Linked DNA regions of Sus scrofa. The protein of the gene in region 3 purifies or fractionates together with the protein of the main gene of each other region. This does not show direct contact. Links are inferred from orthologs where the notes say so. Each region holds a gene or a part of one and is shown on either strand. Other genes may lie near its edges. The genes, in order: ATR, CDC45 and CLSPN.

Region 1 (4,333 bases), on a different chromosome or scaffold from region 3:
TTTTTGAAAAGATTGTTTTTCTCTATCTAATTGTCTTAGCACTTTTGTTGTAAATCAGTTGACCATATATTTGTTTATTTCTGGATTCTCGGTTTTAGACATTAATCTTTATGTCTAACCTTATGCCAACAACACATTGTCTTGATAACTGTAACTTTGTAGGAAGTTTTGAAATCAGAACTGTGAATATTCCAACTTTTTCTTCTTTTTCAAGATTATTTGGCTGCTACGAGGCTCTTGCATTTCCATTGCATTTTAAGATCATTTTGTAAATTTCTGCAATAAGCCGGCCTGGATTTTGATAGGAATGGCACTGGATCTGTAAATCAATTTAGGGAGTATTGCCATCTTAAAAATATTAAATCTTCTAATCCATGAACATGGGATCTTTCCATTTATTTAAGTCATCTTCAATTTTGTTCAACGTTTTATAGTTATTAGTTTGCAAATCTTGTATTTAACTTTTTAAAGCAGTGTTCCTAAGTATTTTATTCCTTTTAATGCTATTCTAAATGAGACTTTCTTAATTTCATGTTTAGGTTGTTCATTGCTAGTGTACAGAAATATAACTAAATTTTTATATTGATCTTGTATCCTGCAACCTTACTTAACTCATTTATTACTTGTAATAGTTATTTTTATAGATACCTTAAGATTTTCTTTCTGTAAAAGCAGGTCTTCTGTAGATATAGTTGTACTTCTTTCCAGTCAGTCCAGTCTAATCACAATGCTTTTTCATTTTCTGGCCTAATTGCCCTAGCTAAATCAATGTCAAATAGACATGGTGAGATGTCTGTATCCTTGTCTTTTCCTAATCTTAGCGGCAAAGAAGTTGCTCTTTCACCATTCAATACGATGTTAGCTGTGAGAAGTAGTTTTTTAAAAGGACATTTAAAGCTCATTTATTCACTTTTTTATTTAAAATCTGTCTATGAGGCATTATGGTAGAATACATTGGTTAGTTAGACATAGGCAAAAGCAAATTCTCTGAAAGAGGAAATAGAGCATCTTCTGACTTAGTAATGTGTTTTTTAAGAGTATTACCATTAGCTTCTCATCTTTCACTTGCTCTTCACCTAAATGTTGACTTTAGAGTTCTTTTTACAAAGATAACATTGTATTATTACCATAATATTTGTTTCTTTTAGTGTCTTAAAGACTTTTCTACATGATCCTTTAGTGGAATGGAGTAAACCAGTGAAAGGGCATTCCAAAGCAACACTGAATGAAACGGGGGAAGTTGTCAATGAAAAGGTTAGTAGGTGTAGCTCAGTATGAGCTGATATATTTGTATATCTCTGCAAATGGGAATTGATTCTAAATACTGTTATTGACTGCCCATTGAATGCTCTGAAATCTAGTTCTCTAGTATAACAGTGCAACAAGTTTTCTTTACTGTCTATACTGATGTTAACATTATCATCATTTGTATAATAAAAAGAGTTCGCAACTTGCTTATGAAATGGAGCAGGAAAAACACAAATTGCTTGAATTTATAGAGTAGCAAATCTTGGCTTCAATATGTGGAATCCACACTTTATTAACATAGAAGTCCTTCATCCCTTGGTTTCCATGGTGGATAGGCCCCACCCTCTGTGTATGCCAAAATCCTGGGATGCACAAGTCCCTTAAATAAAATGGCATAGTATCTGCATATAACCTGTGTATATCATCCCATACACTTTAAATTATCTCTGGATTACTTATAATACCTAGTGCAATGTAAATGTCATGTAAATAGTTGTAAATACAGTGTAAATGCTAAGTAAATAGTTGCCCATGCATAGGAAATTCAAGTTTTCCTTTCTTGGATAACTTTTATCCTTATTTTCAGTCTGTGGTCAGTTGAATCCTAGATGCAGAGACCAGACTATATTAATTGAAGCCTCAAATTTTGTAGATAGTTATTTCAAATAAGTTAGAATATATTGAGGAATGTTTTTCTAATATCATTCTCATTTTTGCATTCTGATATAATTTCTTGATTGAAAGAAATTTGTAGAATTCCAAGTAGCTCACTTAGAACTCCCATTTGCATGTACTAATATAATGTAAATATTAGGGATTAGAGTATTGTTGCTATTATTAGATTTTTGTTGTTGTTGTTGTTTTGTTTTTTTAGGGCCACACCTGCAACATATGAGGTTCCCAGGCTAGGGGTCAAATCGGAGCTGTAGCTGCCAGCCTACGCCACCACCACAGCAACACAGGATCTGAACGATGTCTGCAACCTACATCACAGCTCACAGCAACACCAGATCCTTAACCCACTGAGCAAGGCCAGGGATCAAACCTGCATCCTCATGTATACTAGTCAGGTTCATTAACCACTGAGCCATGATGGAAACTCCCTAGAATATTACTATTTGGGGCAGGGGCTGCACCTGTGGTATGTGGAAGTTCCCAGGCTAGGGGTCGAAAGCCATATCTGCAACCTACACAACAGCTTGTGACAATGCGGGGTCATTAACCCACTGAGCATGACCAAGGATCAAACAGGCATCCTAACAGACATTATGTTGGGTTCCTAACCTGCTCAAATGTTTAAGCCCTAAACACTTTTCAGGGTAGATTTTTTTATATTATTATTTTTCTAGATTTCTAATGTGTAAGAGATTCCCTGCTATTTCACATAGTCCTGAAAAATGTCCAAACAGTTTATGTTAGATTAACATTGTAAGCCTCAGAAATCAGTATCTCAAGTTATTGTATTTGCTTCATTTCTTCTCTTTTGTCTGTATTTGCTCTTACAAAAGGGGTAATGATCAGTAAAATAGCATTGACATTTATTAAATCACAGAAAGGCAGTAATTCCAGTTCATAAACATCCATATATCATTAAGTCCTAATCCTTATGATTTTCAATTTCTTTTTAGGCTAAGACCCATGTACTTGACATCGAGCAGCGACTGCAAGGTGTAATCAAGACCCGAAATAGAGTGACAGGGTTGCCATTATCTATCGAAGGACATGTGCATTATCTTATACAAGAAGCTACTGATGAAAACTTACTATGCCAAATGTACCTTGGTTGGACCCCATATATGTGAAATGGAATTACTCCAAAGACTCTGTTAATAATCTAAATGTAATGTATTTGGTATTAATTTGTGGTTCTATCTATTCACTTCTAAAGTACAACATATGTTTATGTTCTCAGAGTAACTGATATTTCTCCCTGATTGTTAATAATATTTAAAATAATATATGTTAAGAAATAAACTGCTTTCTTAATATGTAGTGTGTATTATAACCAACCAGAGAAATGGAATATCATATGTTCTTATGCTCTGAAAAGATGTATTTGCAAGAAACAAGCCAGCCTAATTTCATTTTACAACTTTCACTGATTTTAAGTACTAGGATAAGGATTCATCTGAACAGCAAAAAATTATATTCAATAAATACTGTAGACAAAGCACTATGGTATATTTATGCACAGAGCTAGGTTCCTTGCTCTCTGGTAACTGTCTAGTTAGAGAGGTATAAATAGCACATCCTTAGGCTCACTTAATAAAACTGTTTTTTTTTTTTGTATAGTTGAAAATGTGGTGGAGGAAAAAAAACACATTAGCCAATTTGCGTGAATATCAAAACTATATAAATATTCTGTAATCTTGAAGATGCTGCCATGCCAAAAGTGTACTGGAATGCAGAATTCAGTGGTTTTGAGAAATAGCAATACTTAAAATTTCATGCGATTCTAAAATCTAAGAACTTTTTAATGTCATTAAATTTGGGGGCTACTATTGCAGAAGATTTTAAATAATTCATAATAATTACAAAGCAGGTTATTACATACAAATAAATGGAGAGCTTTTTATAACAAAGATAATTTCACTTAAATTCACATAGAATGCTGCCTTTTGTTAGAGCTGTAAGTGTGATGGGGAAAATATAGTAACCCAAGAAGTATAAATGTGAAAACTAAACATTACTTTCCTATCAAAGGCCCAATATTAAGAGTGAAGTAGGAAGCTGGGTGGGGGTGGAAGAGAGTTAAATTGTTTTTGGCAAATAACTTAGAAAAATTTTAAAAGAAACTCTGCTGTAGGTTTACAATGCGCGAAGAAAAAACAATTTCCCCTCACAGAAAAAAGTAAACCAAATAAATCACCAGACCTTTCCAAATGTGTGTTGAAAAGTAGTGAGAATGGTAATCGCAGGAGCCCGAAGCAGCCAGCACAAGACAGTGTTAAGCCGTCTCCGGAGGTTTTCACACCCTTCAAATCCACTTAGAGAGCGATCAACTGACGTTTTCAGAACTAAATTTAACACAAACGCTCAAAACCGCTTCCGCTTGCTTAGAGGTAACTACGCTAGCGGGGCGACG
Region 2 (4,909 bases), on a different chromosome or scaffold from region 3:
TCTGTAGATCTACTATGCAACAATGTGAATGTACTTAACACCACTAAACTTTACACTTAAAAATGTACAAACTGGAGTTCCCGTCGTGGCTCAGTGGTTAACAAATCCAACTAGGAACCATGAGGTTGTGGGTTCAACCCCTGGCCTTGCTCAGTGGGTTAAGGATCCAGCGTTGCCGTGAGCTGTGGTGTAGGTCGCAGACGCAGCTCAGATCCCATGTTGCTGTGGCTGTGGCCTATGCCAGAGACTACAGCTCCGAACAGACCCCTGGCCTGGGAACCTCCATATGCCGCGGGAGCGGCCCTAGAAAAGACAAAAAGACAAAAAAAGGGGGGAGGAAAAAAAAAAAACAGAACTCAGTTCAACAAAATCATGGCCAGAGGCATAACAAATACACGGCGCTTCTGCTTCTGGGTGAGTGGGCGCCTCGTCACTCGAACCCCACCTCTAAGCCCTTTCTTCTGGGTGCAACACAAAAAGGACCGCGTACACAAGGTGTTGAACACCGGGTCCCAACCTGCCCTCAACCTTCCCCTTATGATCCCGACGCGGAGCGCTCAGCCCAGAGCACGAGGATACTCGCTTGTTCGGTGGACTGGGCACTGACGCACTCAGCTTAAACTCTTGACAAAGCAAACGCGCGACCCTCTGGTGACAAACAGCGGTACAGCCAGGCCTGACTTCCAAGTCTCACTCCCCCAGCCTCTACACCTCGCCCCCGCCTCCAGAGGCATCGCTGGGGCCCAGGACTGAGAGGTAAGAGGGCCAGGGGAGCCACGGGCAGCGTGGCGGCGTCGCAAGCCGGCAGGGCTCAGTTGGGGGACGGGCCCCGAGCGCCCGCGCCCTTGCCCCTCAGCCTACCAGTCCATCCAGGGCTCGTTTGAGGGAAGCCGTCACAGGTCTAGAGCCTCGAAACGGAGGGCGAAGGCGCCCGCGGAAGGCTCAGGCCGGTGAGTCGGCACCTCCTCGGCTGCACGTTCGCTCGCCGAGCTCCCGCCCCGCCCCCGGCCCCGACCCCAGCCTGCCCCGCCACTCACCATGGTGGACCCCTCGGCCTAGCAGGTGCGCTTTGCCAAAGAACGTTGCGGTGGAAGCCGACTTCTCCTCACAGCCGCCGCTACCGCCGCCGCCTCGCGCGGACATCCGGGACTCACCGGAAATACCGCACCTACACTTCCGGGAGAGGCGCGCGAGGAGGGCGCAGCTGGGTCAAGGGACAAAGGCAAAGGCGCCAGGGTACAAGGTTTCCTTGAGTGAGCGCTTAAATACCCCTTCCTTCCTAACATGTGCACTCTAGACTACCTTTCATGATTATTTTAAACTGCAGTTTGACAGTGCCCCCTCCAGAAGAGTTTGATGGGATTAACGCCCCTTCCGCTTAAGTTACCCAGAATGCACGCAGACCTCCGGCGTCTGCCGCGGCCATCCAAGACTCGGGCGGAAGTAAGACACCCTTCCGCCCTTGAACCAGGCCGCGAGCCAATTGAAATCCTAAACGGAAGCACTCTTTGATGTACACACGAATTTAATTTGCAGAGGGAAGGTTTCTTTTTTCTAGAGGTCTCAGTGAGGGGCAGTAGGCTTTTCTTCCCAAAGTAAAGATAAACACCGAGCGTCGGGTTTCCAGTTAAACGGAGTCAGCGTTAACATGCGCAACCACCAGCGCGTCCAGCCTGTGGCAGATGCCCCTTTGGGGCAGGCCGAAGTCTTCCAGCCGTGAACGGCGGAGCGCTAGTGCCCGCCCTCCAAACAGGCCAATCAGAAAGGAGAAAAGTCTGGGAGCCGAGGGTCGCTGGTTTGTCCCTGGGCCAATCGAAAGAGCCCTGATTTGGCGGGAGTCTTGACGGTTTCCGGGCTCTCGGTCCCCGCGCGCGTTCGGGCTATCCCGCCGCCGTGGCCATGTTCGTGTCCGATTTCCGCAAGGAATTCTACGAGGTGGTCCAGAGTCAGGTGATCCCTGCCTTGGGCGCCCGAGGCCTTGTCGGGGAAGGGCTGAGGGGGTGTGGCCGTGGGGGGCGGGAGGGGCCGGGATTCGTGTATAAACGCTCGGCAAACTCGCTCCCCCCCTCCCCCCCGGTAGAGGGTCCTTCTCTTCGTGGCCTCGGACGTGGACGCTCTGTGCGCTTGCAAGATCCTTCAGGTGAGGCTGCAGACCTGGCCGGCGGGCGGGGGACAGGGCAAGGGAGGGGAGGGACAGGGCAAGGGTGGGGGTCAGGGCAAGGGGAGGGGGGACAGGGCAAAGGGAGGGGGGAACAGGGCAAGGGGAGGGGCGGGGCAAGGACCCCCTCCTGGGCGAGAGCTCGGCCTGGGGCGAGGGCTCTTCCCTGGCGGGACAGTGTTGGGTGGGTTAGAGGAGAACTAAGCAGAAAGCAAGGAGACTAGTTAGTGTGTCTGCAGTAACCTAGGCTGCATCGGGGAGACCTGAGACCCGTAGCGGCTTCTTTCTGTGGGGTTTGAGGCAGAGGGCTGCGGGCACCCTGGTGTCATAAGCAGTCCCGGAGATGACGATTCTTGTTAGAAAAGGTCGCTGCACAGAGTGTAGTGTTTCCATGAACTTCGATTAGGCCCTTGGGTCAGGATCCGCTCAGAAAACCTAGGTCAGCTTTCCAACCGTGTTTTCCTTTAGTGGTTTTCAGCGAAGTTGACAGAATGGTACAGTGAACATTTGTGTGCCCATCATCAACATTTTACTAACCTTACTTTATCAGGTGTTTTTATCTTTCAACTCTTTTTTTTTTAAGTGCATTTCAAGGTAGATTGCAGACATCCTAATAGGTTTTGAAAATACTCTTTCTCCAGGCCCTGTTCCAGTGTGACCACGTGCCATATACGCTGGTTCCAGTTTCTGGGTGGCAAGAACTTGAAACTGCATTTCTTGAGCATAAAGAGCAGGTATGAGAGATGCATTTGAGAATAGTAGGCTTCTTTAGGGAGTTCCCTTCGTGGCTCAACAGTTAACAAACCCGAGGATGTGGGTTCGATCCCTGGCCTAGCTCAGTGGGTTAAGGATCCGGTGTTGCCGTGAGCTGTGGTGTAGGTCACAGACATGGCTTGGATCTGGCATTGCTCTGGCTGTGGTGTAGGCTGGCAGCCGTAGCTTTCATTCAACCCCCAGCCCAGGAACCTCCATATGCCGCAGGAATGGCCCTAAAAAGCAAAAAAAAAAAAAAAGAGAGAGAGAGAGAATGGTAGGCTTTTTAAAACTCAACTACAACTTCTTAGCACTGAGCATTCTATTTCTCTAATGTGTTGTGTATATTTTTTACTAGAAATTTGATTAGGCCCTATGGAAAAGTGAGCTATATGTCTGGGTGACTTGACTTATCCTCAAATTGTGGAGACAAAGTCAACAACGAAAAAGAGATAATGAATGTGGAGGGCTTCTAACTTTGATTAGAAGACACATTTCATTGTAAGGTGTTTGGAATTTGGCAGGTTGATTTGATAAGGCCTAGTTAAAATTATTTTAGATTAGGGAGTTCCCACTGTGGCTCAGTGGTAATGAATCTGACTAGTATCTATGAGAACTCAGGTTTGATCCCTGGCCCTGCTCAGTGGGTTAAAAATCTGGCGTTGCTGTGAGCTGTGGTATAGGTTGCAGATGCAGCTCAGATCTGGTGTGTCTGTGGCATAGGTCAGAAGCTGCAGCTCTGATTCAAACCCTAGCCTGGGAGATTCTATCTGCCACAAGTACGGCCCTAAAAAAGACAAAAAACAAACAAAAAAATTATTTTAGACTAGAGTACTGTTTTACGTTTATCTTTCTAAGAAGATGAATCCCAGTTTCCAGGTGGGAATCTAGGAACATAACTTTTCCCTTGCAGTGTAAGCAGTAAAGGCTGGGACTCCTCCCACCTCTGCATGGGGCCATGATGAGAGCGGGCACGTCTCCGACCTCACAACCCCCCCCCCCCCCCGCTGCCCAAGGAGGGGCTGGAGTGTGCATGAGGGTCACTGGAGTTTCTGGCCAAGATACATCCTCACCTGGAGCGCCTATCATCGCAGGAGGGAACTCTACCAACTCAGCATTACAAGGAAAGGACTTTTTATAGTGACAGGATGTAATAAAAGGCTTAGCTTAATATTTAGGTGCTTGTTAGTTGTGGGCTATGCAAGGATTGCTAGCAATTTAAGCCTATACAACACAATTAGCACGGAGAAGCAGTTCATCACAATAGAGTGTCAGGTCAGGAGAGGCCCGGTTACACATATGACCTCTTGGTCTGTCCACCTCAGCTTCTACACCCCATGTGTGAGTCTCAAGTATGCTCAGCCTCTGTCTGCTCCTCACTGAAGCAGGGACACCGTAGGACTCCCCTTACAGTGTCGTGGAAATGAAATAGCGCACAGAGCTGTTAAACACTTGGCACAGGCCAGCCTCGGCCACAATGGACCCCTCGTCATCGGGGCCTCGCCAGCTGGCAGAGGCTGGGTGCCGTTCAGTAGGGCTCAGGCCTCATGCTGCAGACAAACAGGCTCCTCCAGGTGCTCGCTCACTCATGGTGCCCCTCTTCTTTTTCCAGTTCCATTACTTCATCCTCATAAACTGTGGCGCTAACGTGGACCTATTGGATATACTTCAACCCGATGAAGATACCATATTTTTCGTGTGTGACACTCACAGGCCAGTCAATGTTGTGAACGTGTACAATGATACCCAGGTAAGCAGGCCTTTGGGGCCCTGAGTTCTATCCATCTGTCTGTTCCCTTTTTGTGCATGGACAGCACTGCATCTGGTGTTCTTGGCAAGGAGCATGGCCACCTCTCCAGTAGGAGCTGGAGCAGCCTGAAGATGAGAACCCGGTCTTGTCCATCCTGGATGAGAAACACAGCATATACCCTGGAAGTGCTCAGAGTGCATGTATGGAACTTGCTCGACCTGGGAGGTGTAGGGACCAGAACCCTACCC
Region 3 (4,347 bases):
GAAACTTTGGAGATCAGATAGCACCTTTAGCGTGATTCATGTGTCACGTTGCCTAGATGTGTAGAATGGTGGGTAAGATGACTTTATTTCTTAAAATAGCCTTTGTCTTATTATTTAAAAAATATATATATCTGGGGGTTCCCATCTTGGCTTAGTGGAAACAAATCTGAATAGCATCCATGAGGACGCAGTTTCAATCCCTGGCCTTGCTCTGGGTAAAGGATCCAGTGTTGCCGTGAGCTGTGGTATACATTGCAGATGCAGTTTGGATCCCACGTTGCCGTGGCTGTGGCATAGGTTGGCAGCTGTAGCTCTGGTTCTATCCCTAGCCTAGCAACCTTCATATGTCTCGGGTGCAGCCCTAAAAAGACTACACACACACACAGACACACACACACACACACACACACGTACATATATATATAGTGTGCAGCCCTAAAAGCAAAACAACAACAACGTGACCATACATGAATTCTGCTTTGTAATCTGCTTTTTTGTTTTAGCAGTGTATTATGGACAGGTCTGTTGTTCCCACTCCCACTTTGAAAGTACAAGTAATATATTACATAGAAAAAAACTAAAACACTTAGGGGAAATGTATAAAATGAAAAATTAGCCTTCCCGAAGGCAACTGTTAACAGTTATTTGTGTCCTAGGAAAATTCATATGTATTTTCATATTCATATCATTGTGTGTGTGTATGTGTAAGAGAGAGATTGAACACTTTCTGCTAGGATTCCTCTAGGTGTTTTACAGGAAATAGCATTAGTATCCTTATTTTATATATGAGGAAACTGATAAACCATTTAAACAACTTGCTCAGGTTTACACAGCTAGTAAATAGTAGAACTAGCAGCCTAATCCATACCACCTAACTCAAGAGCTCAGTTGCTCATATTGTGTTTGACGTTTTTCTAAGAGCTGCATAATATTCCATTGTGTAAATATAATATGATTCGTTTAACAGTATTCCTCTTAATGGACATCTTGTTTGTTCCAGTTTTTGGAATTTCATACAGTGTTGTGTCCTAGTATTAGATATATGTTGGTAATTCTGGAGGCAAAATTCCTTACAATGGAATCAATGAGTCACATTTTGATATATATATATCATCCCATTATCCTTCAAAGTACTTATATTAATTTACACTCTGAATCACCGTGTGTAATAAGAGTTGCTGTTAATAATGGATATTATCAAACCTAATTTTTTCCAAATATGTATAAAAATAGTGTCTCATTGTTTAGATTTATATTTCTTTTTTCTTTTTTTTTTTTTTTTTTTTTTTTTTTTTTGTCTTCTTGCTATTTCTTGGGCCGCTCCCGCAGCATTTGGAGGTTCCCAGGCTAGGGGTCTAAACGGAGCTGTAGCTGCCACCCTACGCCAGAGCCACAGCAACGCAGGATCCGAGCCGCGTCTGCAACCTACACCACAGTTCATGGCAACGCCGGATCGTCAACCCACTGAGCAAGGGCAGGGACCGAACCGGCAACCTCATGGTTCCTAGTCGGATTCGTTAACCACTGTACCACGACAGGAACTCCCTAGATTTATATTTCTTTAATGAAAAGTGAGGTTAAGAAATTTTAATTTGTTTATTAATAATATGTGTTAATTTTTCTGTGAACTACCAGTTCACATCCTTTGTCCATTTTACTCTTGAGTTGTTTCTCTTTTTCTTTAATGTAGATAATTTATCAGTATTTTCCTTTGTGGCTTCTGAGCCAGAGACTTTTTAAAATTTAATTTAATTTTTTTTTTTTTTTTGCTTTTTAGGGCCACACATGGAAGTTCCCAGGTTATGGATCAAATCAGAGCTACAGCTGCTGGCCTACACCACAGCCATAGTAACTCAGGATCTGAGCCACATCTGCAACCTACACCACAGCTCATGGCAATGCCGGATCCTTAGCCCACTGAACAAGGCCAGGGATTGAACCTACATCCTCATGGATCCTAGTTGGGTTCATTAACTGCTGAGCCATGAAGGGAACTCCCCAGAGACTTTTTTTTTAATTGAAGTATGGTTGATTTACAATGTTGTGTTAGTTTCAGGTGTATAGCAGAGTGATTCAGTTAATAAATATATATATATATATTTTTTTTTTCAGATTCTTTTCTGGTTATTACAAGGTATTGAATATAGTTCTGTGTGCTAAATAGTAGGTCCTTGTTGTGCCAGAGACTTTTGAAGTCTCACTCTTCCCTCACTTTGTAGTAATAATTTTATAATCTCTATAATATATTATCCCGAGGTATAGAACATAATTCTGGAAGTGATCTTCTACACTCAGTTCATAATAATCCCCATTTCTTTGTTTGGCCACACCCATGGTATGCGGAAGGTCCCAGGCCAGGGATCAAACCCGAACCACAGCAGCCATCCAACCCCCAATGCTTGATCCTTAACCCACTGAGCCATACAGGAACTCCTAATCCCCATTTGTTAAGATAACAAAAGCCTAGGAGTTCCCATTGTGGCTCAGTGGTAACGAACCTGACTAGTAACCATGAGGACACAGGTTTGATCCCTGGCGTTGCTCAGTGGGTTAAGGATTCAGTGTTGCCATGAGCTGCGGTGTAGTTCACAGACGCAGCTTAGATCTGGTGTTGACGTGGCTGTGCCATAGGCCAGCAGCTGCAGCTCCAGCTCCAACTCGACCCCTAGCCTGGGAACCTCCATATGCTTCGAGTGTGGCCCTAAAAAAAACAAAAACAAACAAACAAAAATAAAAGAAAAGCCTAGAGGTCACCGACTTTCCTTTTGGGATGTGTCTAGAATACTTCTGGAATTGCTTAAAATACTCACTTGCATTGTTGTCCTGTGTAGTCAGTCATTACAGTTAAAGCATCTCTTCATATTTCTCTTCAGGGGAAAAGCTTCAGGTGCTGAAAGCTAAACTGCAAGAAGCAATGAAACTCCGAAGGTTTGAAGAACGCCAGAAGCGCCAGGCATTACTCAAGTTAGATAATGAAGATGGATTTGAAGAAGAAGAGGAGGAGGAGGAAGAAATGACAGATGAGTCTGAGGAAGATGGAGAAGAGGAGGGAGAGGAAGCATTAGAGGAAGAAGAGGAGAAAGAAGAGGAAGAGGAGGAAGAAGGCAATCAGGAGGTTTCTGGCAATTATGTGATTTTGTTACTAGGTCATGGTAAATAAGAGAAGGAGAAAATAAGATTTGAGTAAGAGTATAGTGAACACATTCAGTTGTATGAGATTTTAGGGGCAGAGATAAATGTAGCTCATATGTATCTAAATTTTAGTGCATACATTTCACAGAGCCAGAGCCTTGGCTTCTACGTGTTGGCTTACACATTGTAATATAATGCTAATATCAAAATGACTTCGTATGAATAGACTTTTTTCCTTGTTTTCTCTATTCAGAATAAAAAAGGACTCTTTTAACCTTGGCTAGGTTGAGGTCTGGAGTATTCTCAAGCTAAGACCTTCCTGAGTTAATTTCTTTCTTCATTAAGGAGAGTATTTGTAAAAGGACCTCTTGCCTTTATTTCCATAGTATTGTTTTCCACCTATAGAAGACAAATGATAGGATTTTTAGTATTAGAAAACAGAAAAGCATCCTTGTCAGAATGCTGGAATCATTTGAAAGAGCTGATTAATGTTTAACCCTAAGTAAAGGGAAGAGAAAAGCCATGGCTGAGTTGGGCAGGATTTTACAGTCTGTGGTTGGTTTGAGGTCATTTGTTGTCTTGCAGTCTTAGGCTAATCATGTAACCTGTCATTGACACAATAAAATTATAATCCAGTCTTTTTTCATAATCTTGTAACGGTTTGGTGAGAGTAAAAGGTAAAATGACATAGATATAAAAGAGCTCTAGAAGTGCCAGGGAGAATTATATTAATGACAATTGTTAGACCAAGCCTCCTTCAGGTTAACCTTTTCAGATTTAAGATATGACTAGTAACCAAGCAGCATATTTCAGGCTAACTGTGTTTGCTTTTAAAATTTTTGACTTGTATTATTTTGTTTTGGTAAAGATGGCAGAATTCCATCTCGATAGTGAAGAAACAGAAACCAAAGATGAGAAAGAAATGGATAAAGAAAACAATGATGGCAGTGATGAAAATGACAAGTCAGTTGGCCTTCTCTCTGTTCCCAAGCCTCTCTCATCAGATTCTACCTTCCTTTTATTTAAGGACAGCTCTTCCAAGATGGAGTAAGTAAATCTCTCTAAGAAAAGATTAAGATTCCTTGGTATTTGCCCCTCCAGTAAGAAGCAGAAACAGGGAGTTCCCATTGTGGTTCAGCAGAAACATCTGACAAGCATCCATGAGGACATAGGTTCAATCCCTGGCCTTGCTCATTGGGTTAAGGATCCGGTGTT

Evidence for each region.
Region 1: the proteins of CLSPN (region 3) and ATR purify together in Homo sapiens (affinity purification with western blotting; 3 studies listed by BioGRID). This does not show direct contact. The link is inferred for Sus scrofa from reciprocal best matches to the Homo sapiens genes CLSPN and ATR.
Region 2: the proteins of CLSPN (region 3) and CDC45 purify together in Homo sapiens (affinity purification with western blotting; 4 studies listed by BioGRID and IntAct, with this or other methods). This does not show direct contact. The link is inferred for Sus scrofa from reciprocal best matches to the Homo sapiens genes CLSPN and CDC45.

What each region holds. Positions count from the first base shown.
Region 1 is NC_010455.5:83,174,600-83,178,932, reverse strand, and holds the end of ATR (serine/threonine-protein kinase ATR), read left to right. Parts: intron 1-1,148; coding exon 1,149-1,254; intron 1,255-2,876; coding exon 2,877-3,050; 3' UTR 3,051-3,418; downstream 3,419-4,333. UniProt on the Homo sapiens protein: Serine/threonine protein kinase which activates checkpoint signaling upon genotoxic stresses such as ionizing radiation (IR), ultraviolet light (UV), or DNA replication stalling, thereby acting as a DNA damage sensor.
Region 2 is NC_010456.5:51,131,638-51,136,546, forward strand, and holds the start of CDC45 (cell division control protein 45 homolog), read left to right. Parts: upstream 1-1,484; 5' UTR 1,485-1,899; coding exon 1,900-1,950; intron 1,951-2,080; coding exon 2,081-2,140; intron 2,141-2,799; coding exon 2,800-2,892; intron 2,893-4,523; coding exon 4,524-4,661; exon of another isoform or gene 4,662-4,717; coding exon of another isoform or gene 4,718-4,861; intron 4,862-4,909. Other genes in the region: UFD1 (ubiquitin fusion degradation protein 1 homolog), read right to left, coding at 1,038-1,040. UniProt on the Homo sapiens protein: Required for initiation of chromosomal DNA replication. Core component of CDC45-MCM-GINS (CMG) helicase, the molecular machine that unwinds template DNA during replication, and around which the replisome is built.
Region 3 is NC_010448.4:91,920,841-91,925,187, reverse strand, and holds part of CLSPN (claspin), read left to right. Parts: intron 1-2,873; coding exon 2,874-3,115; intron 3,116-4,000; coding exon 4,001-4,179; intron 4,180-4,347.